Arabidopsis thaliana: one gene and its partner. The protein of the gene in region 1 interacts with the protein of each later gene in a pairwise test. Each region holds a gene or a part of one and is shown on either strand. Other genes may lie near its edges.

Region 1 (16,675 bases):
TCTTTCCAAAAGGTCACATCCGTTCCTTGCATCTATTGGGCGATGCAACCGTTCGTTGGTACCCGCTCGACCTTACACCTTTTGGCCGAGACACCTCTTCACCCGTGAGCTACCACAGTCCACCAGCTCGAGTGTCAGCTGACCGGACCACCCAGCTGGGTCAGTACACGATCAGCTCACTAAGCTCAATCGAGCTGTCGGTCAGCTCACCTAGCTGAGCTAGCTAGTCTTCCAGCTGGTTTAGCTCACCTAGCTTAGCTAGCTAGTTCATCCTAGTTTGTCCAGCTCACCTAACTGGTTAAGCTTCAACTTTCTCGTTCTTCCGACTAAGTATTTTAGTCCGTTTCTTGACCATGGTCTAGTTTTCTCCTAAAACAACCTGGCTTCTTTATGAACGCGGGACGCGGTCGTTACACCACCTATTTGCTCAAGGGGGTGGAGAAGCCCGTGGTGGATGTACCAACCCGTCCACTGGAGGTGGTGACGGATACCGCAACAGAGGCAGTAATGAATAAGAAGGATGTGGTGGCGGAAATGGAGGAAGCGGTGGTGGTTACGAGAGATATAGCAAAGGTTACATATCATGTGGAGGTTGTGGTGAAAAAGGATACGGTGGTGGTGGCCGTGAGGGAGGTGGCTGGATGTTACGGAGGAAGCGGAGTGTGAGTTGGTAATCAAAGATAGTCTTGTTTTTTCTCACCGATAGATTGTTGAAAGAAATGGAAGATGATGATAAACCCTATAAGATTCAAATTTGAATTTTGAATATTGAGGTTGTCCTATAATATTTGATTTTGATTCTGGAAAAAGAGAGAGATGAAGAAGAGAAGTTTTCTTAAGAGAAATGGCGAAGATTGGAAGAAATGTTGCTAATGAGAAAGAGAAAATAAGTTTGAGGGCAAATTGGACAATTTAACAAGGCAAAGTGCCTTCTTCTATTTAAGTGCCTTAATCTGCATTAACTTTCCAAAAAGCGTCTAAGTACTAATATTTTCATAAAATATCGCGAATTTAACCAACTATTCTCGGATGTCTCTCTCACAATTTCATTCATTCTCTAAAAGTAAATTGTGAAGTTTTTACCAAAATCTAAAACATCAAATAAGTTTAAGAAGTAAAAATATTTCTAAAAATGACTGAATAGAGTTTAAAATACTATATTTTACTCCAAAATCAAATAAATTTTTTAAAACCCAGACCCGGTCGGTTCAAACGGTTCACCGGGTCACGGTTGAATGGTGAGTTTTTGTGGATTTTCTCGGGTTTGAAATTGTTGGGTATTAGCACTAACCCCAAACCGGAAATATATCTAGATTGCGGGTAAATCGGTCGAACCGGGCAGTCCAGGTCGGGCGTGAAAACACTTACGTATCCTTAAAAAAACAAAAATGTATATATGATATGTTCTTTAACTATAACATAACTAAGTGAAGATACGAAAGACTTAAAAGATGAAAAGGATGTTTCTTTTGTAAATAAAGTGATAAAATTAAAAAGACACTTCACTTAATAACATTATCTACTTCCCAACTAATATATAGTTTTTAAATATAATTTTTTTTTTGTGCACCAACTTTTTGATTCAAACTAGAAAAATATAAGAAGATTGTTTATATTCGGAGAACCCCAAATAGCAAGTTTGGAAAATAAAGTATATGAGGATATATAAATAAAAGATAGAGACACAAGCTCGTCGAAGCTTGATAGAGCACCAAAAGAAATATCAAAACAAACTAATACGAGCAAATATATGATAAAAACACACACATTAAACAAATAATCATCAACTGGGTAAGTAGATAGTCACCATACTTTGTGACGTTTTGTTACATGTGTTTCCAATTATCAGTTAAAATCATAAATAATTGTTTAAGAACAAGATAAAATCCTGAAATGAACGCCGATAACTTATAAACTGTTATGTTGGTATATGAAAGGCAAAAGAATTAATAATTAATGCATAATCAAGAAAGAAAACGATACTGAAAGTATAATACAATGAAAATGAAAATCAGAGTTTATGGACGAGTAAGACCCGACCCTATAAATAGGAGTGTAACATTTATGAATGAAAATGTTTTGGGAGAGAAATGAGACTAAGCTGCTGAGAGCCCTCATTGTCACAAAGAAGGAAGCCGATAAAGAAGGTAAGAGGGACATTGAACCACCTCCAATGATTCTCGAATTCTTACTATGGAGTTCATGAATGTTCATACATTGGTTTGTGGGTAGAGTGTATTTACGTGTTATGGGTTGGGTATTTTCACGGATGTAAAAATATGATTAAGGTGTTAGTTCACTCATTGGTGTTTTCGTAGTAGATGACTAGTGTTGAGTGCTAGAACTGGTCGATGGTTGCTTGATGAATCAGAAAATACCACTATAAAAGAAATTGACACTTTAAACGAAATAATTGTATCCCTTTTATTTGGCAAGTCAGTACCATGTTTTAGATCTTTCAAAAAACGTGCTGAATAGGCTACTTGACAGCTACACTCACCATGAAAGTTTTAGTCATATGGTAAATGCTCATATTATCCATAATTATATTAAATATAAACCGTTACTGAAAAATCATCCTTCTATATTATTTGGGAAGTACATTTTAAATATAACCTTATTTTTTGTAAGTAATTACATAGGTATGCCATTAGAAATAAAATTTTAAAGAGTAAATTAATTTATCTTTTTAAGGATAATAAAATCAATTACTAATTTAATTAATTAAATTTAATAAAAAACGAAATATATTATTAATTTTCAAAAATAATAACCAATCAAAATCAACATATAAGATTTGATATTTAAATTTTAATTAATTTAATTTAATTAGAAAAACGAAATACATTATTAATTTCCAAAAAAGTAACCTATTAAAATCAACAAATTAGATTTGATATCTAAATTATCATATTAATTTTTTATTAATTATTATAGTTCACTTCTCATCTTTATATGATTCTATTTTTGCGAAAAATAATATCATCATTATAAAAAAATAATTAGAGTTTTTTCGCATATGCTATAATTTGAATTTTTGAAAACGAATATAAACTGTTCAATACATAAAAAAGTATTATAACGGATGAAAAATAGATTTAAGAAAATTTTCTACTGAGTAACGAGTTATAATTTAAAATATTTATATTCAATTTCATACATATTATATTGAAAATTTATAATCTTATATACTACAATAATTAATAACATATTAGATTTTTTTATGTGTATGATGTAATTCAATTGTTAATACAAGCTAGAAAATCCTAGAATTGACGGGTTTAGATCGATATTAATACAAGATGGTATACTACAGGTAAAACTCTTAAATTAACAATCAAACTACAAGTGTATAATCTTAAACACTAAACAATATAGATAATATCAACAAAACATATACAACTCACAATTTACTTTTAATATTTTATATACAAAATCAATTAAATCTTAAATTAAATCTTAATCACATAAAAATTAGCACAAAAAAAGTATTCAACAATTAAAAATTTATCAAATCTCTGTGTTATATAAGTTTTGATACTATATTCGAATAAAGTGTAATATACCTTTTCAATTTGTATTCTTTAACTAATTTAAGCTAACTAATATATTTGCTAATCTTATACCTATCAAAACCGACTATCATTTTTTATCTCTATAGTATTTTTGCAAGACTTTTTTGGTGGAATTGGGTAAAAGTGCATTCGGGTCATATGGTACATTCCCCTATTAAATAAAAATGGTATACTCCTATGTTATTAGCTAAAATGTTTAGATTATAATTCAGAGTCATATATTAATAAAATTAATATTAATAAAATAAATAGCTTTTTGGCAAGACGGATTTGGAGTGACGGGTTTTTGAATCAACATTAATAAAAAAGTAAAATATAATTAATACACCGTTTCAATACGGTTAAATCTTTAATTTATTATTTTTAAGACCACTAATATTAAACATATCAAATCATCCTAATTTAGAAAAGATTATATAAAACCAAAAATGTTATGTGGTATGTATAATGTTACCATATATAAAATATAAATGTATTAGAGAATGATATAATTTGCAAAACTTTTATTTATAAAAAATAATTCTTAAATTTTAAAAATTACTACTTTAAAAAACAAATCACAGGACGGGTAAAGAAATTATAGAACGGGTTTTATTTTGGAATTGAGTTATATGGTGGATGTATTTGAATCAATATTTATAAAATTTTAAAATATTATTAATATGCTGTTTTAATAGGGGTTACAACTTCAGTTTTGTAACAATTGTCTCATAGATTCGTGGTATAGCCTTACTTAATAATAATTATAAACTGTAAAATATAAATATTTTATAAAGATAAAATTTACAAATTTTAATATATATTACTTTTAAAAAATAAATTGTCCCGCGGTATACCGCGGGTTAAAATCTAGTTTATCTTATAAAGCACAAGTCACTAAACCAGTAAAAACTTGCTACCTAGATTTTTATTTTTCAATTAATTTTTTGTAAAAGGAATTAAACAAAATACTTTGAGATCGTGGAGAAAAAAAAAGCCTCAAAAGAAAGAAAAACCAATTCTCCGCCTAACAAAATTGGGCTACGTGAAATCAGAAAAAATACATTGTAAGCCCATCACAATTTTTTTAAGTCCAATTGCCCATCCTAATTCTTAGTTTTCTACATGGTTTTTTTTCTTTTTATCTCTCATATGTCGACTATCGTGTCCTATAAAATCTCCAAAAAATGTAAAAAGAATTCTAATTCCTAATTTTGCTCCCACTAACACCTCCAGGTTCAAGCTACTTTGTAACTGATTCATCTTCTATTTAACTCCAATAAATTCACTTTAATTTCTAATCAATATTTCTCTCCTTCGCCAGGTAATTGTTGAACTGTTTTATGATTCTCTGGTTCCAATTATAAATTTCCTCATCAATTGTCACTACATCCTATGCCGATTAGTCATATTCTTTTCTTTTATTTTTGTCAACTCAGTTGAAGATGCCTATGGATTTTACTCATGTTTCACATCTAAATTCTTCAAAAAAGAATAAAAGATCAAAGGTCTAATATCCTTGACCTTGAATTTTTATCCCAAAAACAAATAGAAGGGAGAAAACGAAGGAGATGAGCCTAAAGAAGACAAAGGAAAATAAACTGTTGGCAAAAAATGTATGATTATTCACTATGGAGGGACCTAAATTATTAATCCTGATAATATGTTCTGATTTTAGGGTATCATCAATTGCATGTCTCATCTTCTTTTTGCAGTTTACAATTTTGTTTTGTTTTTTGTATTTCTCAATTATGGTTTAGGTTTGTTCATCATCGTTTCATCAATTGCATGTCTCATCAAATTCTCTATTTTAAATTCTTTCGATTTTCAAATTATGCATTCGGAATTCACAAATTTGCTTTCACTTTGTTCATCATTGTTTCATCAATCACAAGTCTCATCAAATTATCTATTTCACATTTTTTCTTAGTCTTCAGAATAATGAATTTTATATTTACGTTTTCAGTATCTATGACATTACCATGGAGATGAATCTTCTTAAACACCATTCACTCCAACACAATGGCAAGTTATGCATATATCCTTTGTTGCAGCACAAAACATTTTCGAAGAAGAGCAAATTTGAAGGTAAATTCACTTCTCTTATGGTCAACCCTAAACAGATTTTTTATTATCAATTTTGCAGGTTTGTTGCATCTCCATTTACTTATGTTTCATATCATATTTCTGGTTTTTTTATTAAGTAGCCAAGAAATTGTTTAATCTTTTCAAACTTCCAACTCTTTATTTCTTATGGTTTTTCATATGCTATATACATATTTCAATCATAGTCGATGAAGGGTATATCTCTTTTCATCATATCATTTATACAAATTACAATGTTGTTTCACTGTTTACAACGGTTTTTGGAATGCTTTATTATCTTTAACAAAGTTCTCTTTGATTTGGCAGGCTCTCTAGGTCTTTTACAAGTGATCATATACCATTGAGACTCCTCTACTCGCACCAAGTGGATTCCCGTCAAGCCATTACTCGCATCACACCAATTATTCAGATTTTGTATTATACAAGCTAAAGAAACAAAAGACTCGGCTGGGATTTTCTCCAAACCATTTGGCTTACTCTTCATTTTTTTCATCACCATTCATCAATATATCAAAATTAAACATTTTCGACTTTATTAAATCGTATTGTTAAATGTTTAAACATCTAAACATTTCTATCTTTGTTAAATGGTTTAATATATTTTGGGCCGTACGTAATACGAGTTTTAACACTAGTAAACTAATATATGGGAAAAAAGATATTCAAAATTTCTCTGTCGATAACAAAGATGTTTTAAAATGTATAAATGCATTACTACCATTATCGATATGTTCAAGTGTGTTTTATACTTTTTGTTATGTACAAACAATGACGTATATTTGAATATGATTTTATTTGTTCGTTACTCGAATGCAATAAAACTTACTATATGCATTCGAAAATAGAATGTTTTATTATTTTTTGTAGTACTCTTGCATATAGAAACTGAAACTTTTATTAAACAAATATATCGCATCTATGCAACCAAACTTATTTTTACAAGAGTGATTATTCATATTAATTTCTGTTCACCCAAAAAATATATTTTAAGTTAGAAATATACAATTTGGTCCTCCCTCCTTTTCTCTTCCTTCCTTCTTCTTGACATTATCAATTTTGTCCATATTTATAACCATAAAACCGCTTACATTTCTGATTTTTCATATAAGTTACATTTTAAATTTCCAAATCACAAAGTATATTTTCTTGTGCAACAAACACATAGTAGTATGTTATTCCTTAATCTCCCAAAAAAAATCTACATTATTGACTGTTTTAATACAATTCAAGCATGTGAAATGAAGAAAAAACTCTTTACCAAAATCTGAATACTCGTGATGCCGTTACACCCGATCTATGATAACTTTTTATATCTTTCCTGCCTCTACTTCCTTATTTATAAATTTTTCTTAATCATGACAGTTGAAATATCTACTCACACAATACTTTTTTTGATTTAGTAGTTTTAATTGAATATGAATTGGCCGAATTCCCAAGTTTCCCATAAATTTATATATATATATTAACTAGTTGTGAGTGGTGACACAATTGTAGTGATAGATTTAAGGAAATATTTACTAAAAATATAAACATATTTAGCAGTATCATTTGTTTATGTCTTTAAAATATCCGGTTTTGCAAGTACAATAATAGGTAGAGTAAAATCTTTAATTTATTGAATGACTATATACTTCGTGTTACACAATTTTCTTTTCAAAATATCATAAAATAAAATACTACACTCAAATTTTTAGAATGTAGATGTGATATGTATATTGTATGAATTAGAAAGAAAGCTCTATATCACGACAACAAGGGAATTTTATTTTATTTATGGACGATGGAAACAAAAGTACATAAGACAAATGCATGCAACAACAAATAAGAGAAAAATAAAAATAGGACAAGACACCGGTAACATTTTCGACCCCTTTTATTACATATGTTTTGATTCTTAATTCAACTTGAGAGACTCTTACTGGACTTCAAGTTTTTGACCTCCTCTTTTGAATATCAATATCTTCTTCACCATGTTGCAGAATTCACTATATGCAAACAACACAAAAAATGAAATATCAACGTCTCTCAAGATTTTAACTAATCTTTCAATCGATAGAAATAGAAAAGAAACTTACGGCCATGGATCGTCTCCAACAAGCATCTTATCATCGTCACTATCTGTGAAAGCTATTTCCCATTGGTTGCGAGTTTGTAATTGGCCTTTGAGATCGAAGAGCTCCTCCAATTCTAGTATTAGCTGATCATATCCATTCAGAACACTTAAATCCACAGCTCTTTCTATTGTTACACCTTGCATTTGAACCTGTTCCATATCAAGATTGCGTGAGTTGAGTACAATGAGAAAAAGTTTCATATATAAAGAATAAGAATATATTGATCTTATACTTACTTTGGTACAAGTTCTAGTAGAACTGAACTGCTTGCTTTGGATCTCTGTTGGTGATCTCAAAGTTTGGCTTTGACCAAACTTTTTTCCTTCAGTAAGTTTCGAAATCTCCGAGCCAATTTCTTCAATGGGATCTTTGATCACTGAAGGAGTGACCAGTGAGACTCCAAACAGCCTAAAATTAGTGCCAGTCTTGGTTGTTATATTTTCTTCTATTTGTGTAACCATTTGGTTATTGTAATTTAGTTTGGGCATTGGTTGGACAGGGTAGCTCATTAGCAATCTAGAAGGATTCATAACATCTTCAGTTGTATCACGATAAGTGAGAGAAATATTCATCGGGGAGGCCACGCTTAGTTGGCCAATTTCTTGTCCTTGTGTCAATATAGGAGGCAAGAGATGTGATGATGAAGAACCTGTATATAAAACAGGAATATTGAGAAGGTATTTAAGAATCTCAAATTCATTAAATAGAAGATTAATTCTTTAAATAAAAGATTATAAGAGTCTCTTTTTATACCGATTTCATTAACTTCTCGTAAACGCTTGTTCTTGAGCAAAGATGGTCGCGGAACATTTAACGCAGGCATTAAATGTTCGATCTCCCAGGGTGACACTTTATTAGGTCTCGAAAATGATGCAAATTCATCCCACTGCACCTGCAAGATTAAATTTATTGCATTCAAAAACGTATTCCTAAAATGATGTTTTAAAGTGTGAATGAAATTTTACTTCTAAGTTGCGCCACTCTGAACACTTCCAATGAGGAGAGAAATCACTAACTCCAATAATTGTCCCAAAATATCTTAATCAATAGAACAAAATGTGTTATCATAGATAATATTAAACATTACAAATATATTTAAGTAGAAAAAAGTTTTCATCTAATGTTACCTTCTTTCAGAGAAATCATCACCCTCAAACCGCATTGTAAATCTTGAACCAACATTGAACTTATTGTTCACAGCATCTAAGAATTTGTCGTAACTGACAATAAATTGACTTGATCTGATACTTATAAAGACACAAAAAATATATAAACCTACATGTTGAAGGAACTAATCTATTGATAAATCAATATAATCTTAAAAGTGAGTTCAAATGGTTCTTTGAATTACCTTGGCTTGTAAACCACAATGAACATACATTGGTTATCAAAAGCATGCTTTGCGGAAGCAATCACCCCATGTCTCATACTTTCTATTGATATTATTGATGAAGGTATATTCCCTTGTTGATGTCCTGCTCGTCTGATACCAACTCGTAACTCTCCAGTCTCTCCCCTGAAACCACAAGTAAATAGTTTAAAATCCAAAACTCAAGAACCAAAAGATCCCTATATAAAAAAAACCAATAATATACCTAACGAATACAATAACATCCCCTGCAACCAATTTTTTTGATGTTGTGAATGCATTCCAACCAGTTGTTAACAAATGTCTTTGCGGTGTACCTGCATGGGATAAGAAGATTATTAGTTACTTCTCTAGGATTTATTACCTCAATAGTTGTGTTTGAATTATATGAATAAAAGGAATTATTACCTCTATAGTTGTGGTTGAATCTCCATTGATTACCATGGAGATCTGTAGCAAGAAGTTCTTGTGTCGGTAGAGGCTGAGACATATCCTAAACCAAAATTTAATATGTAATGTCTAATGAAAGTTTAAAATTCAAATTCGTTTAAAAAACTATAACATTAAATACCAGGGGAGGAAGACATTCAATGGCATGTTTTTTTGGAACAAAGAATCCACCGCTTGTATCCGAGGCCGTTAAAACCTTCGTAAAGGAATTAACTAATGGTCTAAATTGATTTTCATTTTGAGTAGGGATTACAACTTGCTAAACATTTAACAAAATCAGAAAATCAATCAGCTATAATAAGAGAAAAAATAGAATTAACTGAAAATAAAAGAGAAATACTAAATTTTCACTTACAGTTGTATCTGGCATCAAAGTGATCTCAGCATAAGTCTCATCACTATTGTTTTCCACCTAAAATCAAACATCAAACAATTAACCAATTACTTATTTTTACAATGAAATCAAATATATATCATGCGTATTCGGTAAAACATAATAGAGATATACCTTAAGTTGAATAGCAATAACACGACATTGAAGCTTAGAAGGAAGATCACAAATTGGTTTTAACTCATTCAACTCTTCTCTTGTAGATGCCTCAACCTGAAAAAAGTCGTCAAAAGGTTTTGATACACGAGAGAGAGGGAGAGAGAGATAGGGAGAAAGAAGAGAGAGAGAGAGAAGAGGGAGAGAAGAGAGGGAGAGAGAAAGAAGAAAGAGAGAGAGAGAGAGAGAGAGAGAGAAGAGAGGGAGAGAGAAAGAAGAGAGAGAGAGAGAGAGAAAAAAAAAAAAAAAAAAAAAGAGAGAGAACTCACAAGCTCTATATTGCCTTGAGGAAAGTAATAAATCTTTTCTCCAAGTTTTGGAATATCACACAAAGGCCCCGCACAGAGTTTCCATAACTGCTCGTACATATAACTCTTGGATCCATCAACTGCCGAACAAAAACTAAAACATTATAACCAAAACAAGTTTTCACTAAAATAAAATAAAAAGTCAAAATTTCTTACTTATGCCTGATAATTCAGGTTGTGCATTCACAATGTTGCCACTTTCCATAAGCTCGTATCTAAAGATCGGTATACCAAAATATGTTATCCCAACAATTATTATACAACTTTCTCTCTTTCCTCAACTTCTCTCGCGACCATGAGAGCACAGAATATCACATTTATAGGTAAGAAGTATTAAAATACTTTCTTAGATTTGAATACTAAATTTAATAAGGTTACCAAAAATTAATAAAAGTAATTTAGAGAAATGTCATTAATATTTTGACTACATATAAGAAAATCATTAACTTACCAAAATCAACATATGCTTTATTCATATATAAGTTGAGTAATATAATACAGTTTTAATACTTACACCGTGATCAGACCTTTCATATGGGATCTATGGTACATCTCATGTTAGATTTTTCTTTTCGCTTCCTCTATAAGTTTATAAGGATTCCTTATAAACCGGGGTTCTATAAGTATATATTGTCGATATTTGGAGAAATTTCCAAGGGCATGTTCCCCTTTCCATTTAGTTGTGATGTGAATTTGCATGTATCCCATGGCTATTGGGATGTCCTTGGCATCAGGGGTGGATTCCCGGTGGTGGTTGTGATTTGGCCTTATAAGGGGGTGTGGATTATAATATGATGAGTTCCATCAAAAATGTACAAGGGTTTCTCGTTGCCTCTCAACCCGAATGTCATCTAAGCATTTTGTTCTATGTTTTATATTGATGGCTTTTATTTTGCTTCTCCGTCAAAAACGTGTTTCCGTATTTTGTATCTCTGTCAAAAACATGATTTCGCATCTTCCGCCAAAATGTGTTCAATGATTTTCCCGTCTAAAACATGTTTTCCGCAAAAAAAAGTAATTCTTTATATTTCTGCCAAAAATATAACTTCGTAATTTTCTTTCAAAATGTGATTCAGTGATATTTTCACCAAAAACATGATCATGATTTATGATGGTGATCAGATGATCATTAATAGTGATGATGATCACGAATGATGATGGTAGTATGATGATGATTATAATAGTTATTATTTACTATTAATGATAATTATTTAGATTATAGAATATTTTTTTTTATCATCTATAGAAAAGTTATTAATTGAATAAACTTATTTATCCATTAATTCAATAATTTAAATGACTTATGGTTTTATCCAAAGTATTTGCTAAATGAATTAGATTGACTCATTATCCATTAGAAATTAAATTTGTATGGATATAGATTGGTTGGATTTGGTTTAACCAACTTGACATCCGTAAATATAACACCCACAAAAAAAAACTTATAACACATTAGTCAGACAACAACAAAAAAAAATACGATTTTTATTTGTATAGATTTATTTGATCCAATAAGTTTACCTTACTTAATTTAATTTGTAAATTTTTTATTCTTGTGAGAGTTAAAATTTTATTTGTTGTCAACTACACATTAATTAAAAACTAATTATATGAACGCTTATCTAATCTAGAAAAATTAGATTATAATTTATAAATAAAAATGTAGATGATCGATCTAAACAATCCTTTTTAAAATTATATATGAGAGGAAATCGAAATGAAAAGAGAAAAGAAATTTGACCAATTACAACAATGGTGATGCTAGTGCTATCATTGAGACTACACTCTTAGAGCCCATTATAAGGCCCATTACGTAAAACATAATAATCTCTGAACTAATAACAAACGACTATGGGATATTTGATCAATTGACTTGTATTCTTGTAGAACATACGCAGAGGTTGACGACGATGATAACAGTAGGATTTATTCAACCCAATTCTCTCTTCTCCTTCTCAACTAAATCCATCGACAAGACACAACCTTCACGAACGAAATGGGTCTCTTCCTCGTCCTCTTCCTTTTCTTCTCACTCTTCCGTTGAGACATTTCATCGAACAGGTAATGTGCAAGTTCTTCAGAAAGATGTTCTCTGTGGCAACAATGAAGAAATTAGGAAGAAGAATAAAAGGGTATTCTTCTTAGACGTTAGTCCACTTTGCTACGAAGGAAACAAACCCAGTTCGCAAGCTTTTGGTCACTGGATTTCACTCTTCTTCTCTCAAGTCAGCCTCACTGATCCTGTCATAGCTGTAAAAATCTCTCCTTTTCTTTGATTCTTTCTTCCGCAAGCTTTTTCTCTTCTTCGATCAATGAAAGATAGTTCCTTTTGTAGGTTATCGATGGAGAAGAAGGTAACCAACGACGCAGAGAATTGTTGCCTTCATATAAAGCTCATAGGAAATCACCAAATCATGGGAGATACTCTAAGAGGCCACATCAGTTTGTTGATGAAGTTCTTAGAAAATGCAATGTGCCAGTGGGTAAAACTGTTTAATACTCAATGTTCAATAGACTAGCTCAATTCTGTAGCGTGTATATAGTTAAGTGAATTAGCCGTAGAAGTGAATGAATGATCTTACTGGATTCTTGTTTATGTGTTAGGTTGTTAGAATAGAAGGGCATGAAGCAGACGATGTAGTAGCTACGCTAATGGAACAAGCTGTGCAAAGAGGATATCGTGCGGTTATTGCATCGCCTGATAAAGACTTTAAGCAGTTGATCTCAGAAAATGTTCAGATTGTCATTCCATTGGCAGATCTCAGAAGATGGTCCTTTTATACTTTGAAGCACTACCATGCTCAATATAATTGTGATCCACAGTCTGATTTGAGCTTTCGTAAGTGCCTAAATCGACTTATGGCTACAAACATGTCTCTTGACGCTTGTCTTTCTGTCAACTTTCTTTGTTAAGTGTCAAAGCCAACTCAATCCGGCTGGTTCTTGTGATAGGATGTATAATGGGTGATGAAGTTGATGGAGTTCCGGGGATTCAGCACATGGTCCCGGCGTTTGGAAGGAAAACAGCGATGAAACTTGTGAGAAAACATGGTTCTCTGGAGAGTTTACTAAGCGCAGCAGCTGTAAGAACCGTGGGGAGACCATATGCTCAAGAGGCCCTTACGAAATACGCAGACTACTTGAGAAGAAACTATCAAGTTCTTGCCTTGAATAGGTTCTTTCTTTATCACTTTAAACCCCTTCATTTTGATTGATTATGCATCACTTGTAAGATATTCTTGCTGATTCTTCAATCATTTTTGTATCATAGAGATGTGAGGGTACAGATTCAAAATGAATGGCTGATGGAGAGAGATACAAGCAATGATTCAGAAGTATTGTCAAGCTTCTTCTCAACATTGCATGGATGATACTGACAAGCTAAAGCACACTCTCGCATTTTAGCTGATAGCTAGTTTTTGTGAGCTTGAAAGTAATTTTAGACATTGTAGTTCATATCTGATTTTGTTATATACTTCCATAGATATGAATCAAAATGTGCAGTTTGTTACTAAATTTGTTTATCACTATGGACATGGCTGGTTAAATCAAAATGAACCATAATAAGTAAGAAAAAAAAAAGAATCCAACTTTCTGCTATTCTGATATTATTATTATGGCGAAAACAAAATTACAGACACAAAAGAACTGCTTAAAAGGCTAAAAACTAGAACATCTTACATAACTTATCATATATATGGCAATGCCTTAGAGACTAGTATCTGAAACAGACTCACCAACATTCCTGGGCGAGAAACCACAGGCATTCGCAATAAGCATTTGAAAAGAACTCTCTGAATCATCAAACATCAGTCGCGGAAACTCGTGGAACCCTCCAAAATTACATGTATCAAAGTTCATTGGTGAGAACGACTCCTCAAAACATATCCTCCCATCAGTCATTCCAGGCTGTGTGGTTTCTTGGTTAGCATTTGATGCAGAACCAAGATTGAAGCCAACCATTCCTTGGTTGTTGTTCCCGCCTTCAGAGCTCCCTCTCTGAGTAGATGTACTGGCTGATGGTTTTGTCTCTTCAAGAGGGATTGCAGGCGTGTGTCCCTGGAACAGAGCTATGTGACCAAACAACTTGTCTTTCCTTGAAAATGTTGTACCACAGGAACAAAGCCACTTGTTTTTCCCGCAGTGCTTCTCGTGGGTTTTAAGATCTGCAATGACAGAGAATTTCTTGGTATGGCACCGGCTGCAAGTGAAGCTTTTATCGCAGTGGGTGCGTTTATAGTGATTCTTCACGCATAGAATCGTTTTCAAAGGCTGGAACTTTTTGTGCTCCTTGTTACGTTTGCAACCAAGGAATGGGCACGAGTACCTCTTGATCAGCATCGGCTCAGACCCGGGTACGGATTCTTTGTTCGGTTTCGCCAGAGCAGCTGCTGTTTTGTACTCATCTCCATGCCCTCTCATATGCATCCTCAAATTCGCGTCTCTCTTGAAACCCTTGCCACATATCGTGCAGAAGTGAGTATGCGGTGCGAGAATCTCTTCTTTCTCAAGCTGCAATATCTCATACGAACCGGGAGGAAGGTTCTCTCCTTCTTCCACATCATCTTCATCTTTCATCTCATGTTCCTCCACAACATGACCTTCCCTCTCATCAACAAGAACCGGCTTAGGCAAATCGAACTCTCGAGCACCACAGTTGTTATTGTTCTGACTCTGTGAAGCAACGTTATTAGCCTCCCTTACATAAGGGAACACGGCTGAACCGGGCTGCCCAGTGAATGGACCCGGAGCTGTTGACATATTATGCTTAACAGATGGAAGAAGACTACCTGCAGTTGAAATAAGCTGTATGATAATGGAAGTAAGATCCGTCGTTATAAGCTGCTGCTGCTGAGCCGCGAGCTCGTCTTGACGACCTTGAAGCTGCCCACCACGACCAACAAGAAGATGAACAAGATCCTGCAGCTGGTGAATCTTCTGCTCCATAAAAGAAAGGTTACTCAACATCGTCCTTGGATCCCACGCTTGAGCCCTAACACCTTGTAAGAAATCAACATTTGCTTGAATGCTCTCTTGCAATCCAGGCTCCACACCCATCTCATAATCCAAGATTGAAGCATCTTCCCACTTCTGCTGGGACGTAAAACCTGCGAATGTCGAATTCCCACAGTCTGATGAACCCGGCTCTCGCGATTTCGAAGAAGAGCTTCCCCAATTGGTGTTGCACAAATCGTCTTCAGTTTCCATTTTTTAGTTCAAGATCTTGTTTTTCAATTAAGAGAACAACAAAACCTACAAAAGAAACCATAAAAATCAAATCTTTATCAGAATCAGAATTAGGACCAGCTCAAAGTTCATCATACACACTTCACAGAATCAAATTTCATTACTAAGATTCAAAATCAAACTCAAAATTATCGAAATCAACACAAATTCTTCACCCAAACAAACAAAAAAAAATCTTCACACATAACTCTTAAGATCCAAAAACCAAACGGTCAAACAAAAAAAAATCATCAAAATCATCAAATCAAAACTCGCCGACAACAAAATAAAACCCTAAATCAAAAACAAACACGATAAAAACAAAGTTTCACAAATCAAAGATCACTAAATCAACAGAAATGAAAAAAAAAATAGAAAGAGAGAGATTGAATCACCCACAAGAAGAAAAGCTTGAGATGGAACTTGGAGAGCACCAATGGCCGCTTTAAGAAGAGAGATAGATAGAGAAAGTGATGATGATGATGATAGAGAGAGAGGAGGAAGCAGCGCCTGAGCGGGGCTCATGTTTATTAGCTTTGGGGTGCTCTCCACTTTCTGATCTACCCTATGTAAAGTCAACCCATTAATCTCAACCGTTGAAATTATATAAAGATCGGTATCAATCAGATCTGACGGTGCAAAACCATATTATCGCATTGAACATGGTAACGATGCATTAGAGCCGTTGATTTATGAGAAAAAATAATTGATTACGAGGTGATTAGAGTAAGTCAACCTAATCATCGACCGTTCGTTTATAAGTAAAATCAGATCCGACGGTTTATATGCGTTTATCGCATCAAGAACAGTACCGGTGTATCGCAGCCGTTGATTTAGAGAGGTGTGGGTGGGGTCTACGCTATAGTTGGTCGTAGTTTAAATATTATTATTCGTATTATCTTTCTCTTTCTGTCTGTCCATGCACTTCATTTTTGCTTATTTGACTTGGCTACTTCAAATATTGAATATTGTGTGCATTAAATATTTGTTTTATTTCAACT
Region 2 (15,564 bases), on another chromosome or scaffold:
CCTTCCCTGCTCGTTTTGTCAGATGATCCAGTTTTCAAACTACATAGGGGGTTTATAATTTCTTTTTTGGACTTAACTATTTACTAATATGTATCCATTACACACATATCCAGAGCCAGCCCATATCTAAAGCCCAGCAAATAGAATATATAACTTTTTAGAATACAACAAATTTGTGTAAAAATAGGAAAGAATCCAAAAATGGAACTTATTGAGGAAGAAAGTGGAAACTACTGTTTGTGGGTGCCAAATAGAAGATGAAGTAAGTAAGTACATAATGAGGTCGAAAAGTCACAAGTCTAAAGTCTTTGTCTGTTTTTTATTTTATTTTGGAGAGTGCATGGCAACTTGCTCCGACGTGAGAGATGCTTGAGGACTCGGAACCTTTCTTTGTTTATTGTAAAACGAAATTTCAGAAAGAAAAAAAAAGATGATGATGACTTGGACGTTCAAATTATCTTGCTTCTATTGACTGACAATTATGGTTGAACTAGAATAAGGGTTTATGGAGCACGCAATTAGACCTTTTCTCATATTCTTTGCATCTTTTACCAACCAATAATAATCCTACTTAAAAACTGGAATCCAGATATGTGTAGAAAGAAAAGAAAAAAGGTGGACTACTATAATTGTGTATGGGTGGAAATGGAATTGTATACCCTGAGTAGGGGTTAGTGGGTCCAGTTTGGTGGTGGACTTAAAAATTGGAAACATCTTTTTTCCTCACAATTACACTTTTATGTGTGATTTTTTTTTTTTGTTAATGATGTGTGATTTATTTGCCTACGCTTTTGCACTCATCAACACACCAATTTTAATTTGATAGGGCAAAATCATGTCTTCTTTATTAAAAAAATAGCATAACGGCTTTAATTTTTAAGGTTTTGGTTTTGAATGGTAACCACTTAACACTTTAAAACAGTATAAATAGTTTGACATTTACCAATCACAAAATTGTTACCAAAAGTGTTATAAAAAATTTTATTCTCAGCTTTTTTTAACAGTTTTTTATACAGTTTTTTCTAACAGTTTTGCACTATTCCGATAAAATTAATAGCTAAAAAACTTGCACAACTTTTAGTTACTAATAAGATTTCTTTTATATATTTTATGGATATAAATATATAGTTTTAAAGTTAAAAAGTAAAAGAAGAAAAAAAAGAAGGACAATAGAGAGAAAGAGAGAATGTCAATAATCAATATACATCTTGAATGTTTTGACGACATCACGGTCTCCAAAAAAAGTTACCAAAAACCTTAAAGTAAAAACGAATTAATATTAATTAAATTTTAAAATGATTTAAATATTTTATTGCTGATTTGTTGTTTGTTTGCTTACTCTTTTAGGTTTCCTTGTTTCACTTTTGCATTTCTTGAAACATCATTTAGTTATCTCACTCGGTAATGCACAAACATCATCATTACGTCTCTCTATTTGCTAATTTGCATATTGATCGTAAGAAAAAGAGAGAAGATATACAAACTCAAAATTAATGTTTAATACCTAATTCCAGATATACACATTAACACGTCAATTCTGTAGAATGGTCTTTCGTACAAAAGAGATTCTGTTTATACATTACACAAACTTTACGCCTGTCTTTCCAACAGCTAGATCTTCGAATTTCATTCCCAACCATAAAATGTAGTCAAGTCACCTCTTCTTATAACTTAGGTTTCATAGAGTTCTTATTATAAGGGCTTTTCTTGAAATCTCCTTTTAATCGTGTTTCTGTATAATATGAGATCGACAAACATAAACCAAATCACGATCAAACGAGAAGGTTGATTATATTCATCCTAATGGTCGAACAAACCCCTTCGTACTCACCAAAGTTAAATAACGTTCTCGGTTCTCATAAGAACAATCCTTCTCTAACAACATTACCTGCTGATGTATCCAAGATTATGTATGTCTCGTACATGTTTTATAGTTTACTATTTATTGATCAAACAAAAACATGTTGCGGAACAATGTCAACTTTTGGAATTTCCAACCTCCCATCTTTGTCCAAAACAACCTCTTTTGGATGCATCTTATCGTGTTCCTATGTATGAAATTAATGAAAACGTTAGTTTTTGAAAGGGACGTTACTTACTTTATCTCAATTTATGCTTATCTATTTTTATATCTATTTTTTTTAAATGTCGTAATCTGCTACACACAACGAATTATATAATCGGTTATTGTCATAGCTATAGAGTTGACCCGGTGGAAAATATAGAAAATATGAAAATTAGTGTAAATTAAAGTTTGACTCAAGTCTAAAACCTTTTTTTAAAAAAAGATAATGGGATGGAAGAAAAAACTACTCTCGATTAGATCGGTAATGTAATGGACCATTTCCAATATTTAACTTTAATTTTTTCTATATTTTAGAGTTGATTCTATTTTAAAGAAAATATATTTAGTTTTGCTCTATTGTATGTTTCTAAAATAGAGTTAACTATAAAACATAAGAAAAGTGTAAAGATTACTCTATATATAGAGTAAAAAAAAGGAATTTCTACATTTTTTCTCTATTTTAGAGTTAACTTTATTTTACAGATATACAATGAAACAAAATCAAATATATTTCCTCTAAAATAGAGGACATTATAAAATTATGCATTGAAAATGCTCTAACTATATAGTTAATGTTTTTGTATTACTTGCAAGATTCGTTTGCCCCTGGAGACTTATTTCTTGATTAATCAACCTACACCCACCCACCAACCCACCTTCTTTGATTTCAATAATATGAATCTATGTTTCATAGCCCGACTTATTGTTTTCAATATTGAAAAACTTTATCCACAAGCTACCTTGTGACCTGATCTTATCATCCTCGTATTTATTATATTTTTAAGAAATGATGTGATATCATTATCATTTTCATAATTTAGGTCAGAATGAAATCGTACTTTTTTTTTTATGTGGGTGCATAAATAAAAAGGGCTAGCAAAGTGTAAATGACTAGAAAGGTGGTGGAGTAAAGTGCAAAAGATTAAGAGTAGGGTTTTATCGATGATTAACTTGTTCGTTAGGTGTAATTATCATTAGACTTTGCAAAATGCAAACTGTAACGAATGCTTGCATGAGCGCCGTCTGGAGCTTTGACGCGAGTCTTACCCACGACCCTTTCTTTGACTCTCCAACAGAGGTCGAATCCAATGCAAACCACTAGCTTCTTCATGTCTGTGGCAATTTCTTTGGTTGAAACCATTAATGTCATCTTATGTTATTCAATTTGTAAATATTATGATTTATGAAGGTGTTAGGCAGAGGGTGAATATTAAGAACACCTTCAATGGGGATTTCTAAACAAATAATAAAAAAATTATATGATTTAAATCTTACATGAATCTCTTAAATTTGATGAAACCTAAGCCAATTGTTTCTTAACTAAAAGATAATTAGTCTTGGTTTCACCAAATTTAAGAGACCCATAATTAAAAATATTATTTATCTATATTTACATTTTAATTTTGTTTAAGAAGGGTTTTTAGGTAATTCTTATTGCATATGAAAGTAGAATAGGAAGATAGAGAATAAAAAAAAACTCTTATCTAAAATTTATATAAGAGTCTAATGAGACACATGTCTCTTTTATATTGGTTTATTTTTTTTTCTAAAAATTAAAATTTAATTATTTAGTAAATTATATTAAAATAATAATATATAGGTATTTAGAAGAAAAAATTAAGAGTCCTCCATTGAGGATGCATCCCTAATGGTAGTTTCTAAACAAAACTCTTAATATATAATAAAAAATGTATATTATTTAAATATTAGATGGGTTTCTTAAATTTGAAAAAACTTAATTCAATTGTTTTTTAGTTAAAAAACAATTGGGCTAAGTTTCTTTAAATTTAAAAAATCCTTCATTAAAAATTATTATTTATCTATACTTATACTTTAATTTATTTTAAAAAACCTATGTTAAGAAACTCCCATTAGAAATATTAGAAATGGTCTTAACTCTTAAGCTTAGAAAACTCCATTGAAAATGTTCTAAGGACTTAATTTAAAAGCCATGAAAGGTATAATTCCTTTTGTAACTAATAAATATAGTTAAATAATACCAGTAGTAGTAGTACGTGAAGAGCCGTCGGATGCAATCTGAATCGCAAAATAAGGAGGAATCTACGGACAGGATCACAGTGGAAAGATGATACAGAGTAGAGAGATTTCTTCTTCTTCTTTGGCAGATTCCAGCGAGGAACCAATTAGTAGGCCTGCTGTCAAATAATGTGACCCACAACTTCTTTGATTCCTTAATTACAACTTTTGATTAGTAACGCTTATAATGTCTCACCTTTTACTAATCAAAGTAATTACGAATCAGCTTTCCATAATCATATCATCGTCCAATTTTATTCATTACTTTGCTTTAGGAAACTCTATTCATCTTATTCCTTTCTAAATTGTTGATTAAAGTGATTTGAAAAGGTAATAATCTCGTGCATTTGTTGCTAATGTGCCAAAATATATTTGTTTTGGGGTTATTCACCATTTTCATGTGACCTTGTTGTATGTTATAACTTATAACCGTTGGGTTTTTTTTATAACTCTTTTTGGTAATATTATATATTTATATATATTAATATACAGTAGTAGTAGAAAACTAAATTATCATCAGTTTGTTGCTTTTCTTTAACAAAATAACCAATTAACTAATTAAATTATATTAACATTGTTTGACTGTTTGTAGTGGGTATACTAGTTTACTAAATAAAATATTTTTGTCACCAGCCGTACTACAATAGCCTAATGATACGTTAAATTTAATCATATTTGCGATCATTATATTGTGAGTTTTTACATTCTAACTAATAACAAAAAAATACTACCTTTGTATTAAAAGGTAGGATGTTTTAGCTAAAATGCATACACTTGAAAAAAATAAATTGTTTTTGAAAAGAAGTATTAAATAATTTAATTCAAAAAAATTCAGCCAATGATATAAAGGCTGCATAATACAAATGGTCATAAAATATCAAAATATTTAAAATTTGCATAAAAATTGGTAAAAAGTATATATTATTTTAAAATTTTTCTAAAACATCTTATAATTTGATATAAGGGAAGTAGTGTTTATGGAAAATCCCGACATATATGTAACCACATTTATGGAATCTCCGTCTCTCAATTTCCAGTTAGCTCACATACACAAATTGTATTTACTCGTTGACAAACGGTTTATATAGTTGATAATGCATTAGATGTATCCATAAGAAAGTCGACAAAATAACATTGAGGCGATCATTATAGTGTGAGTTTTTATTTCCTAACTAATAACAAAAATTTTAAGATAGTGATAAATCTTACTCTCTTTGTATTAAAATATTTTTTTAAAAAATAATTATTTAATATTTAATTCAAGAAAATTTGTCAATGATATAAAAGATTGCATAATAAAAATGATCATAAAATATCAAATGTATTTAAAAATTTGTAAAACATGATATATATTTTAAAAAAAAATCCTAAAACATCGTATATTTTGATATAAAGGAAGTAATGTCTATGAAAAATCCCGACACGTATGTAACAACATTTTTGAGAACTCGGTCTCTCGATTCGCAGTTAACTCGCATACACAATTTATACTTACTGCTTGACGGATGGTTTATATAGTTGATCATACATACATCCATTTGAAAGAGCATGTTGGTCTTAATTGCATCAAACATTCTTATCAACACAAAATGATATACATGGCATCAGATAAACCATCACGAACAAATACAATTTTGAAAGGTAATACACACAAATTCACTAACACTATTAAGGTAATACACACAAACATTCTTATCAATTTCATGATTTTCTATTAAAATGTCATTATAAAAAAAAAAAAACTGAAAGAAATTGGACTGAAAGAGAAATAAATTTAACCATAATTGTTTGGTAAAAATAGTAAAATATGCCAAAAATGAGATTTAAGAGGAAAATAAAAAGAAGAAAAAAAAAACAGCTGTAGTCTACATTTACATACAAGTCGTGGACTAACAGCTATACTACTACTAAGTACTAACTCTTTCTCTCTCTAAATATCAAATTCAATTTAATTTTTCTTCTGCAAATGGAACCACCGCCTTCTTCTCTGTCCTCCACCGCGGTGGCTTCCACCTCCATCTCCGCCGCCACTGCTCCTGTTCCTCCTCCTCTACCTCCTCACGTGACTTCTTCTTACCCCGAATCTCTCGACTCCTCCCCTCGTTCTCGCACCACCGATGGCTGGGATGACCTTCCTGCTCCTTCTGGCGGCGGCGGTGGCGGTGGTGGTAGCGCCGTCTCTTCTAAACTTCGTTTTATGTGTAGCTACGGCGGTCATATCCTTCCTCGCCCTCACGATAAGTCTCTCTGCTACATGGGCGGTGACACTCGCATCGTTGTCGTCGACCGTAACTCCTCTCTCCCTTCTCTCATCGCTCGTCTCTCCAACACGCTTCTCGACGGTCGTTCCTTCACCCTCAAGTACCAGTTACCTAGCGAAGACCTTGACTCTCTCATCTCCGTCACTACCGACGAAGATCTCGACAACATGATCGAAGAGTATGACCGTACCATTTCCGCTTCCAATTCCACCAAACCTTCGCGTCTCCGGTTGTTTCTATTCACCTCCAAGCCTGAGGCTACTCAATCTATGGGTCAGATCCTTGAGAGCTCTGCCAAGAGCGACGATTGGTTCCTCAACGCACTCAATAGCGCCGGTCTTCTCAATCGAGGATTCTCAGATTCTGATACTAACGTCAATCGTTTACTTGGTTTGGATGATGCTCTTGCTCTCCGTTCTAATTCCGGTGACAACAACAATCGAGATGGTGATGATGGCTCTGTTAAAAGCGCCAAGCAACAGCAACCTCCACCGCCGCAGCAGCAAGAACAACAGCAAGGAGGCCAAGATGTGAACTGCTTACCGGATTCTCCGATGTTAGATACATCCTCTTCTTTCGGCTCCACTTCTTCGTCTCCCTCGCTCGCCAATTTGCCTCCGATCCGTGTCCATGTAGAGGAACCAGGCGGAGTAAGGACTTTGCCAGATCAGAGAAATCTGGGAATTGAAGAACAGTTCGCACGATTCAACGTCGGGAACAAGCATCAGCTACATGACGACGGATTTGCTGCGATCTCTTCACCACCGCCGATGCCTGTCACAATCGCCCTTCCTGCTGCGCCTGTGACTGCAGCCACCGTCTCTAATGAGTTCCAGGCCAGGGTTTACTCAGATGACGAGAGATCCGATCACGGCGTGCAGGCTGGATACAGGAAGCCTCCGACTCCGCGATCGCAGCCGCAGAATCTACCGCCTCAGCAGGCTCATCAGCTGAAATCAAATAGCGGTGGTGGACACGAGCTGCCATCACCCAATTCCGTTTCCAGGTACTCTTTCTTCTTATATTGGAACCCTCATGAGCCTTAATTTGATGCTATAGAAGAACTAAGATTGGTCAGAACTCTGATTGTGTGTTTGCTATATAATGAATGCCTCAGTGATAGCAGTATGAGCAACCCAATGTTTCACCAAAGACCATCTGTCTATCAAGAACCAATTGCTCAGATACCTTCTGGCTCTACCGTTGTTACTGGTATGATCAATCCCTCAGATCCAAGCACACTTTTGTCACAGCATCAGAATCAGGACCCAGCCTATATCCTTCACCCCCAGTTTGAGCAACAATCTGCACAATCTCAGCCACAGCAGCAGTTCATACACACTGCTGCTCCTCCTCAATACATTCATCACCATCCGTCTAGCGGCCTTCCTGTCCCGACTTACATCCAGGTTTACCCTTCGCAACAGCCTCAACAGTCCTTCCATCAACACGCAGGTCGACTGGATCAGCAGCCTTATCCTGTTTATTATGTCACTGCTCCTGTCCCACCTAGGCCCTACAGTATGCCTGTGCCACAATCTCCAAGTGTGAGCGATGCTGCAGGGTCTATCCCCTCTAACCATCCCAACTCTACCATGATGCCTCCACCTCCTAACAACCACATGAGAAGTGTTAGCAGTGGCAAACCTGAGATGGGACAGGCTGGGGTTTACACAACAGCCCCAGGTGTGGGCGGTGCTCAGATGGTTCACCAGATTCCCACAAACCAGCAGCAATTCATGGGGTATTCGCAGATCCGTCACCCTCCTCAGTCTGGTTCAGCTGGGAATCCAAACTATGGATATGAATATGTCGACAATGCTCATACACAGATATACTACACTCAACCTATGGGACATGCACAGTACCAGACAATGACTGGGCCTCCACCTGCCATGGTGATGCCTGATGGTTCTGCTGCTGCTAAGCTTCCAGCTGAGAACATGACTCAACAGATCCGGAGTTCACAGCCATTGTGACACACACAAGGAACACATGAAGATGAACCACAAAATTTTGGAGGAAGAAAACCCCGGGTTGGTTTTTAAACGTATAAATATATAACTTTTACTTCTTTTTTCTTCTCTTCTTTTACAAGTTGCTGCATCAAAAAAAGAGTCTGGTGTCATGTTAAGTTTGGTATTATGGGTTGTGTTTAAAAGTGTTGTGTGAGTAAATTAAAAAAACAAATAAATAGTGCTTCTTGGTGGGATTTTACATTATATAGTTGCAATTGATACATGTAGTGCTTTACCATTTTCCTGGATCTTATATCATATTATTATCATTCATTTCATTTTGTAAATGTATCACTTTTTTGATCATCATCTCTCTATCTTGTTTTTTCAAGAGACTTTGAAGGCTATAATATTGTTCAGAAAGATTCTGAAATGTTATGTATAACATTTAATATTTGGAAGAATGTATGTCTGGCTTCTTGCTATCCATGGGAGCATAGGTACAGATATTAAAACATGTGTGTGGTCTTGCAAAAGTACACACAAACCCTACAACTTCTAAGAGACAAGGTGTGGGTGAAAAAGGTAGTGACAAAATCGATCTGTCTTGCAATTTAGCAACACAACTATCTCTTTTGAAAGAGATAGGCATTTGTATCTTTACCTAAACACCAAACCCAGTCCTTTTTATCTCTCTCTCTATACATGACTCAAAGATATTTTACTCTTGCACTACACTATTCTCTCATAAGCAACACAGAGCCTCACTTTGAATCGAGTTGTCAATAGTCCCAGATAATATTTCTGCAGTGTTCACAGAGTTGAGATGTGACTTTGTGCATCAGAAGCATTGGCAGACCTGGTTGGATTACAAGATCTGAACCAAATCTCTCTCTGTGGTCAGCTCCCCATCCCTTGCTTCAAACCAACTGGATCTTAATGGGTTTTTCTTGTCTTATGTCTCTTTCATGTCTGCAATTCTGTCTTTTTTTCTTTAACTCTTCTGACACTCTTTTAGCATCAGCTCATACTATAAATCTTTAGAAGTGAGCTCTCTTTTTCTCATCTCACTTTCCCTTCTCTGCATCTTTAGAAATAAAAAAGCATCAATGGACCCAAACACACCTGCAGACTTCTTCAAAGGTTCTTCCAAGTTTCATACATATTACTCACAGACCAAAAAGGGTGGTGGGGTAATCGATCTAGGCCTCAGCCTTAGGACCATACAACATGAAACTTACCTCCCACCGGCGCGAAGTGAGTTTTTTTTTTTTGCTGAATAGCCGTGCTTTCACCTCATCATTAGTTAGTTTTCTTAATCCTCAACTTGCTACCTTCAATATCTATATGTGAATCAAAGTGATAGGTCTCGACGGGTATGGAGAGCTCATAGACTGGTCGCAGCCCAGCTATAACAGCATTACACAGTTGAAGAGTGAGGACACTGGACACCAAAGACTTGCCCAAGGATATTACAATAATGAAGGAGAGAGCAGAGGAAAATATGCTTACGTAAAGGTAAATCTGGATGGCCTAGTGGTAGGGCGCAAGGTTTGCCTTGTTGATCAAGGAGCTTACGCAACTCTTGCTCTTCAGCTCAATGATATGTTTGGTAAGCCGTGTTCTGACCCCCAAGCTTCCAGCTACAAGTATGTTTCAGAAGGTTTTGCCACATTAATTCGAATCTGCAGGGATGCAGACCGTGTCGGGATTGAGGTTGTTCCAGACTGAGTCTGAGTTCTCTTTGGTCTACAGAGACAGAGAAGGCATTTGGAGGAATGTTGGGGATGTTCCATGGAAGTAAGCTCTTACATTTTCTCTATACAAAAACTAAGCATTTTAAGTTAACCACTTTGTAATTTGTCTGAAACCTGTAGGGAGTTTGTCGAAAGCGTGGATCGGATGCGAATCGCAAGAAGAAACGATGCTCTTCTTCCCTTTTAAGCTTTTAAGTCCAAGCTTCTTCTGGGGCGTTCACTGATTATCTAAGATCCAAATTAGCTCACTTGTGGTTCTATTGTTCAATATCTGATGTAATGGAAGCTTTAAGCTATAAATACGATTATGAAGAGAGGGACATCTTAATAACCAACCACCAACAAGACTGGGACAAATAAAAGAACAAAATAAAACAAAACAAACGGTAACCACATTAGTGTCATCAGGCTTATGCTTCAAAATACATTGCAGCTTCAAATTTCAAAACAAGCTTTATGTGCAATCTCTAGATGTCTCAATCGCCGGCCACGGGTAATCTGTCGAGCGTATCAGAAACGTGCCTCATGGTAGGCCTTTTCTCTGGACTGCTATTCACGCAACTGATTGCAATCTTAAGAACAGCAACAATCTCGTCTTCCGTCTCTGCCTCAGGAGCCAAACAAGGATCAAGAACATCACACAATGGTTTCTTCTCCTCAATGCATACCTGTACCCACCGCACTAGATCCATTTCCGATGTCCCCACCTCCACTGCGGGAGACCTACCCGCTATCAATTCCAGTAAAATGATCCCATAAGAGTAAACATCCCACTTCTGTGAAGGTTTTACCATCTTGAGAGTCTCAGGTGCTTGATAGTAGGATCCAGAAGAAGAGTGAGCAGTGAACTCCGAAGATACGCTCTTGTGATGGTGTTGTTGCCTCTCTTGCGGCTGTTGATCCGTTTGGATGATTCTGTTAGACTGTATGGTCGGAGAAGATCCTCCAGCGATGTTAGCTAACCGTGCTAGTCCAAAATCTGAGATCTTAGGTTCCATGTCCTGTCCAATGAGAATGTTGCTTGGCTTGAGATCTCCATGGACGTATTTCTTGGGACTAAACTCATGCAGATAAACAAGCCCTGTAGCAATCCCTTTCATTATCCTCAACCGTTCAGACCATGTCAACGGAGCGATGGTCATCATCCCCGGCTTTCCTGCACATACACACACACACATTTACGATGATGTAACTGAATAATGCATCTTGAAATGAGAAAAGAGTGACTCACCGTGGAGGGCGGTTGCGAGGTTACCGTTGGAAACATAGTCGTAGATGAGAAGCTTTTCATCGACAGACCAATAATAAGCTCGAAGACTAGCAATGTTAGGATGTTTTAGTTTCCCTATGGCTTCAACTTCTGTCTGAAACTCCTTGAATCTCTGAGACCCTCCTTCACCCAATCTCCGTACGGCCAGTGTGAGCCCGTTCTCTAGAACCACTTTGTAGACAATTCCGATTCCGCTCTTCCCCAGAACGAAAGCTGACGCCTTTAGCAGCTCCTCCAGGTTAAACGCAACCTGAGCGTCGAGGGGAACAATGTCGCAATGCTCCACGTTTTCAGATGGCGTTTCGGATTCGTCTTTACGGAAACACAGACACTCAGAAGCCCTTTTCTTGGATTCTTTCTCGACTCCGAATTGGTTCTCGCGGTTACAAGCGCAGAACTTTGAGTAGCAGTAAGTGAAAAGCAAACCCACAAGGCAGATACCAAACACGTCGCAGAGAACAATGGCAATGACGGCGCTTTTGCTCAAACCACTTGATTTCTGTTTGGTTTCAGAGTTAGTACTATCAGAATCCTCAGGTGGGTTGTTGCTTGGGATAAAAGGGTAAGAGGCATTGAGGCCAAGTTGATATCCTTGGCAAAGGTCCTTCAATGGAGGCCCGCATAGACCAGTGTTGCCGATAAACGCTGTTGGTCCTCTGTTCATAAGAGCACCGGTTTGAGGAATGGGACCGGAGAGATTATTGAAAGTGAGATCAATGTAAACCTTTTCAGGAAGATCTCCAAGGGCAGGTGGGATTGAGCCGGTGAAGTGATTATGAGAGAAATCAGCAGTTCCTTGAAGGTTGGAGAGGTTTCCAATGTCGCTGGGGATGGAGCCGTTGAATTGGTTGAAGGCGAGGTCGAGTTTCTCCAGAGAGACGAACGCTGAGCCAAACCCATCAGGCAAAGGACCAGACAAGTTGTTTCTGCTGACATCGAGTGTTTTAAGTCTGTTGCATTGCAGAATCGAAAGTGGTAACGACCCGTTGAAGAGATTCTGTGACAAATCTAAGGTCTGAAGAAGCTTCAGCTTACCGATCTCTTCCGACAATGACCCATCAAAGGAATTGCCGTAAAGGACTAGACTTTGGAGTCCCTGAAGATGGAAAAGCTGAATAGGCAACGACCCATAAAACCTATTGCTCCGGAGATTCAAGTGACGGAGACTGGAGAGAAACCCTAGAGACGAAGGGAGAGAACCGTAAAGATTCTTCCTTGGAATGCTTAGAGACACCACCCTGAGTTCTTTGCAAGTTACACCGTTCCACGAACAGGCGTTCTCGTCTGATGAGTTCCAATTGTTAAGAGAACCTGTAGGATCATCGTGAACGCTTTGTTTAAACGTTAAGAGCGCAAAGCCTTCGTCGTTTAAGCCACTTATGACAGTCACATTGCAGAGAAGAGCAACGAAGATGATCAGCGAGGCCAACATTATCAGATGCAAATTAGAACAAAAAGACGAGTGTTGGCTTTGTACAAAGCAAAGAGAGATAGTAGCAAGAAGAGTGTGATATTGATGGAGTGAAGAGTAAAGTGAAAAAGATACTCTCGTTGAAGAAAAAGGAGAAAGAAAGAATACAAAAAGTAGAGAGAAAGAGAGAGAGAGCTCTGTTTTTGCATTGGGAGAAGAGAATTAACAAAAAAAAAAGAAATGACCAAAGAAAGAGGTGAAAGTTGGAGAAAAGAGAAGGCCATGGCGAAGTAATCCATACGCTAATTTGACCACTAATCTAATGGGTTTGAATGGTAACAAACTTAAGCTTTATACAGTTTTGAATCGATCATAAAAACTTTATTAAAAGTGTTACAAAAAGTTTTACTTTTAGCTTTTTTGTACAGCTTTTTTATACAGCTTCTTCTAACAGTTTTGCACTATTCCGATAAAGCTAATAGCTTCAGCTAACAGGTAAAAAACTTGTCCAGCTTTTGGTTACCAATCAGACCCAATATCTTTGTAATCTCTCCTATATACAAAATGTTACAAATGCAGATATCTTTATTCAAATAGTTACATCTTGTAATACCTTTTGTCATGATTGTTGTTTTATTCCGAAAAGTAATATATTGGGGTCCTTTGATTGATCTGTCAAGTGTCAATGTAGGTAACATTTACAGTGTTTGTCCTTTTCTATTAATCTATCTTGTCAATATATTACTACTACAGTAGTATCATTCATTTTTTATTTCTTAGATGATGTTGCTCTAGCACGAAACTCCATAAAATACCAAGTGATGCATATTAATAGAGTGTAGCAAGTGTAGTAACAAGTAGTAACAAGTGTAGTTTCAAATGAGCATTGAACAAACTAGTTACGATTGGGAGAGAGCAAACATAACAGTGGAGTTTACTAGAGAAGAAAGGTGCCACAAGATACCACCACGCTCTTCCTGCTTTCTTTATTCCTCGAGTCTGCTTTTACAGTACTAGTACTACCTCTTTTATATCTTACTTTACCATATAAATCACAGCTCATCTTTCTTATTTTACTTAGAATAGTAGCTTGACATGTTTTTTCGCAAGAAGAAGATTCATATAATAAACGATTATAAATGTGGTTTAGATTTAGCTAAAGCCTTAAAAGGGTAAAAGGAGAGGACATGTGTACAAACATTAGTCCGGCCCTTATTGTCGTTATGGTGATACGATAAAATTGTCGATAAGTAGACTTGGTGAAGTGTGATGTCTCCTAGTTTCTTAGGATAGAGAGCCCCAAAAAAACCTAAACCTAAACCCAGAGAGAGTGTGCCAGAGTGGGCCTATTTTCTCCTCACGGACTAACGGCGACGACTCCGAGGCTACATACTAGTAAATCAAACAACTTGGGTTTTAGTGCAATATAAAATTATTTTGGGCATAAATTGTAATTATGGAAACGTTTGGGCATGAATTGTTATTACGGAAACTGTTGGGGATAAATTGAAATTACGGAAACTTTGGGGGGCTTAATTTGGCTTTTTGCTGGCACGGCAATGGGAGGAGACGAAACCGAGAGAAACAATGGGAGACGCTGCGATCCGTACCGTCGTCGAAGCCATTCACTCATCTCCGACGCAGGCCGTCGTCTATCTTTGCGGCGGTGCCTCTCTGGTTTCACTCTCTCTCTTTATGATTGATTCGTATATACACAAGTATGTGATTGCTCTGTGCTTTTGAGTGATCGAAATTGAATTCTCTTTCAGGCTTTAGGTTGGTTGATGTCGGTTCCTGGAGCGTCGAACACGCTTCTCGAGTCCGTGGTTCCTTATTCGAGAGTATCTATGGTTCAATTACTCGGCAGGGTTTGTTCATAAACCTCTCAATTTCATTATAGCAATCGATGTTTCTCTTCTCTCCATTAATCAGCTGATTTTCGTTCGCTCTCTTTTAGGTTCCGAGCCAACACTGTAGCCAAGCATTGGCCAAGGAGATGGCCTTGTTAGCCTACAATCGGGCGCTTAAGCTCTCTAAACCAGGTACTTGCTCTCTTTCTTCACTTCACCATCCTTTGTTAGCAAGAAGTCCTGGAATATAGTAATGTGGATTGGTGTAACTTCCTTAATCTTGTGGATAGGATATCCGGTTCTCGGTGTCGGGTTTACGGGATCATTGGTAACTTCTCGTCCTAAGCGTGGAGATCACAGGTTATGCAATTTTGTTTCCTGCTCTTTATAGTAATATACTTGTTTGCTTGAAATGAAAGCTATCACAATAAGCTAGTTCTCTAGCATGGCCCTTTATTCTTTCTGTCACTCATAGTTTTTGTTTGTTGCGCGAGAGTATAGGTTCTTTTTGTCTATGAGAGCATCCGACCGGATTTTGGAATCTTCAGTCACTCTAACTAAGGTGATTGCTGCAACCTTCTCTCTCCCATATTGCTTTACTCTTTTCTATCAACTACTCAATGTATGTTATTCTTATTGTGGAAAACTTTAGAACTTACGGAGCCGAGAAGAAGAAGATAAGGTGTCAAGCTGTGCACTGATCCAGGTGTGTTACTAAGCTAATTACAACCTGGTACTAATCTGCCTAGGCCATTGCTATCTGATTTTCCTTTCTCTAGTTTTGTTAGGAATAGTGACAAGTTAGTTTGGTTACTGGTATTACAAACAAGTACCTGCAGACATTTCTTTTTCATAATTTTGTATTATTTAGACTATATATTCTTCTAGGCCAGTTTTAATCCAAAATTTCCACATTCTCCAAACGCATTGTTTTCTGAGGTTCATCATGGACTGA

The links.
Region 2: the proteins of ARF22 (region 1) and IAA32 interact in a two-hybrid assay, tested with the Arabidopsis thaliana proteins (2 studies listed by BioGRID).

The regions. Positions count from the first base shown.
Region 1 is NC_003070.9:12,549,983-12,566,657, reverse strand, and holds ARF22 (auxin response factor 22), read right to left. Parts: upstream 10,654-16,675; coding exon 10,605-10,653; intron 10,529-10,604; coding exon 10,410-10,528; intron 10,198-10,409; coding exon 10,102-10,197; intron 10,006-10,101; coding exon 9,949-10,005; intron 9,853-9,948; coding exon 9,715-9,852; intron 9,637-9,714; coding exon 9,552-9,636; intron 9,461-9,551; coding exon 9,370-9,460; intron 9,291-9,369; coding exon 9,126-9,290; intron 9,016-9,125; coding exon 8,902-9,015; intron 8,813-8,901; coding exon 8,740-8,812; intron 8,667-8,739; coding exon 8,528-8,666; intron 8,424-8,527; coding exon 8,011-8,423; intron 7,924-8,010; coding exon 7,736-7,923; intron 7,646-7,735; coding exon 7,576-7,645; downstream 1-7,575. Other genes in the region: AT1G34400 (uncharacterized protein), read left to right, coding at 43-104, 363-666; AT1G34380 (5'-3' exonuclease family protein), read left to right, coding at 12,359-12,700, 12,784-12,927, 13,053-13,287, 13,401-13,623, 13,720-13,819; STOP1 (C2H2 and C2HC zinc fingers superfamily protein), read right to left, coding at 14,157-15,656. UniProt on the Arabidopsis thaliana protein: Auxin response factors (ARFs) are transcriptional factors that bind specifically to the DNA sequence 5'-TGTCTC-3' found in the auxin-responsive promoter elements (AuxREs). Could act as transcriptional activator or repressor.
Region 2 is NC_003071.7:108,955-124,518, forward strand, and holds IAA32 (indole-3-acetic acid inducible 32), read left to right. Parts: upstream 1-9,063; 5' UTR 9,064-9,220; exon of another isoform or gene 9,221-9,414; 5' UTR 9,415-9,430; coding exon 9,431-9,578; intron 9,579-9,681; coding exon 9,682-9,933; intron 9,934-10,012; coding exon 10,013-10,121; intron 10,122-10,198; coding exon 10,199-10,265; 3' UTR 10,266-10,554; downstream 10,555-15,564. Other genes in the region: PDE331 (Octicosapeptide/Phox/Bem1p family protein), read left to right, coding at 6,069-7,369, 7,481-8,342; AT2G01210 (Leucine-rich repeat protein kinase family protein), read right to left, coding at 10,555-11,234, 11,310-12,780; AT2G01220 (Nucleotidylyl transferase superfamily protein), read left to right, coding at 14,347-14,436, 14,529-14,627, 14,717-14,801, 14,900-14,969, 15,111-15,171, 15,262-15,315. UniProt on the Arabidopsis thaliana protein: Aux/IAA proteins are short-lived transcriptional factors that function as repressors of early auxin response genes at low auxin concentrations.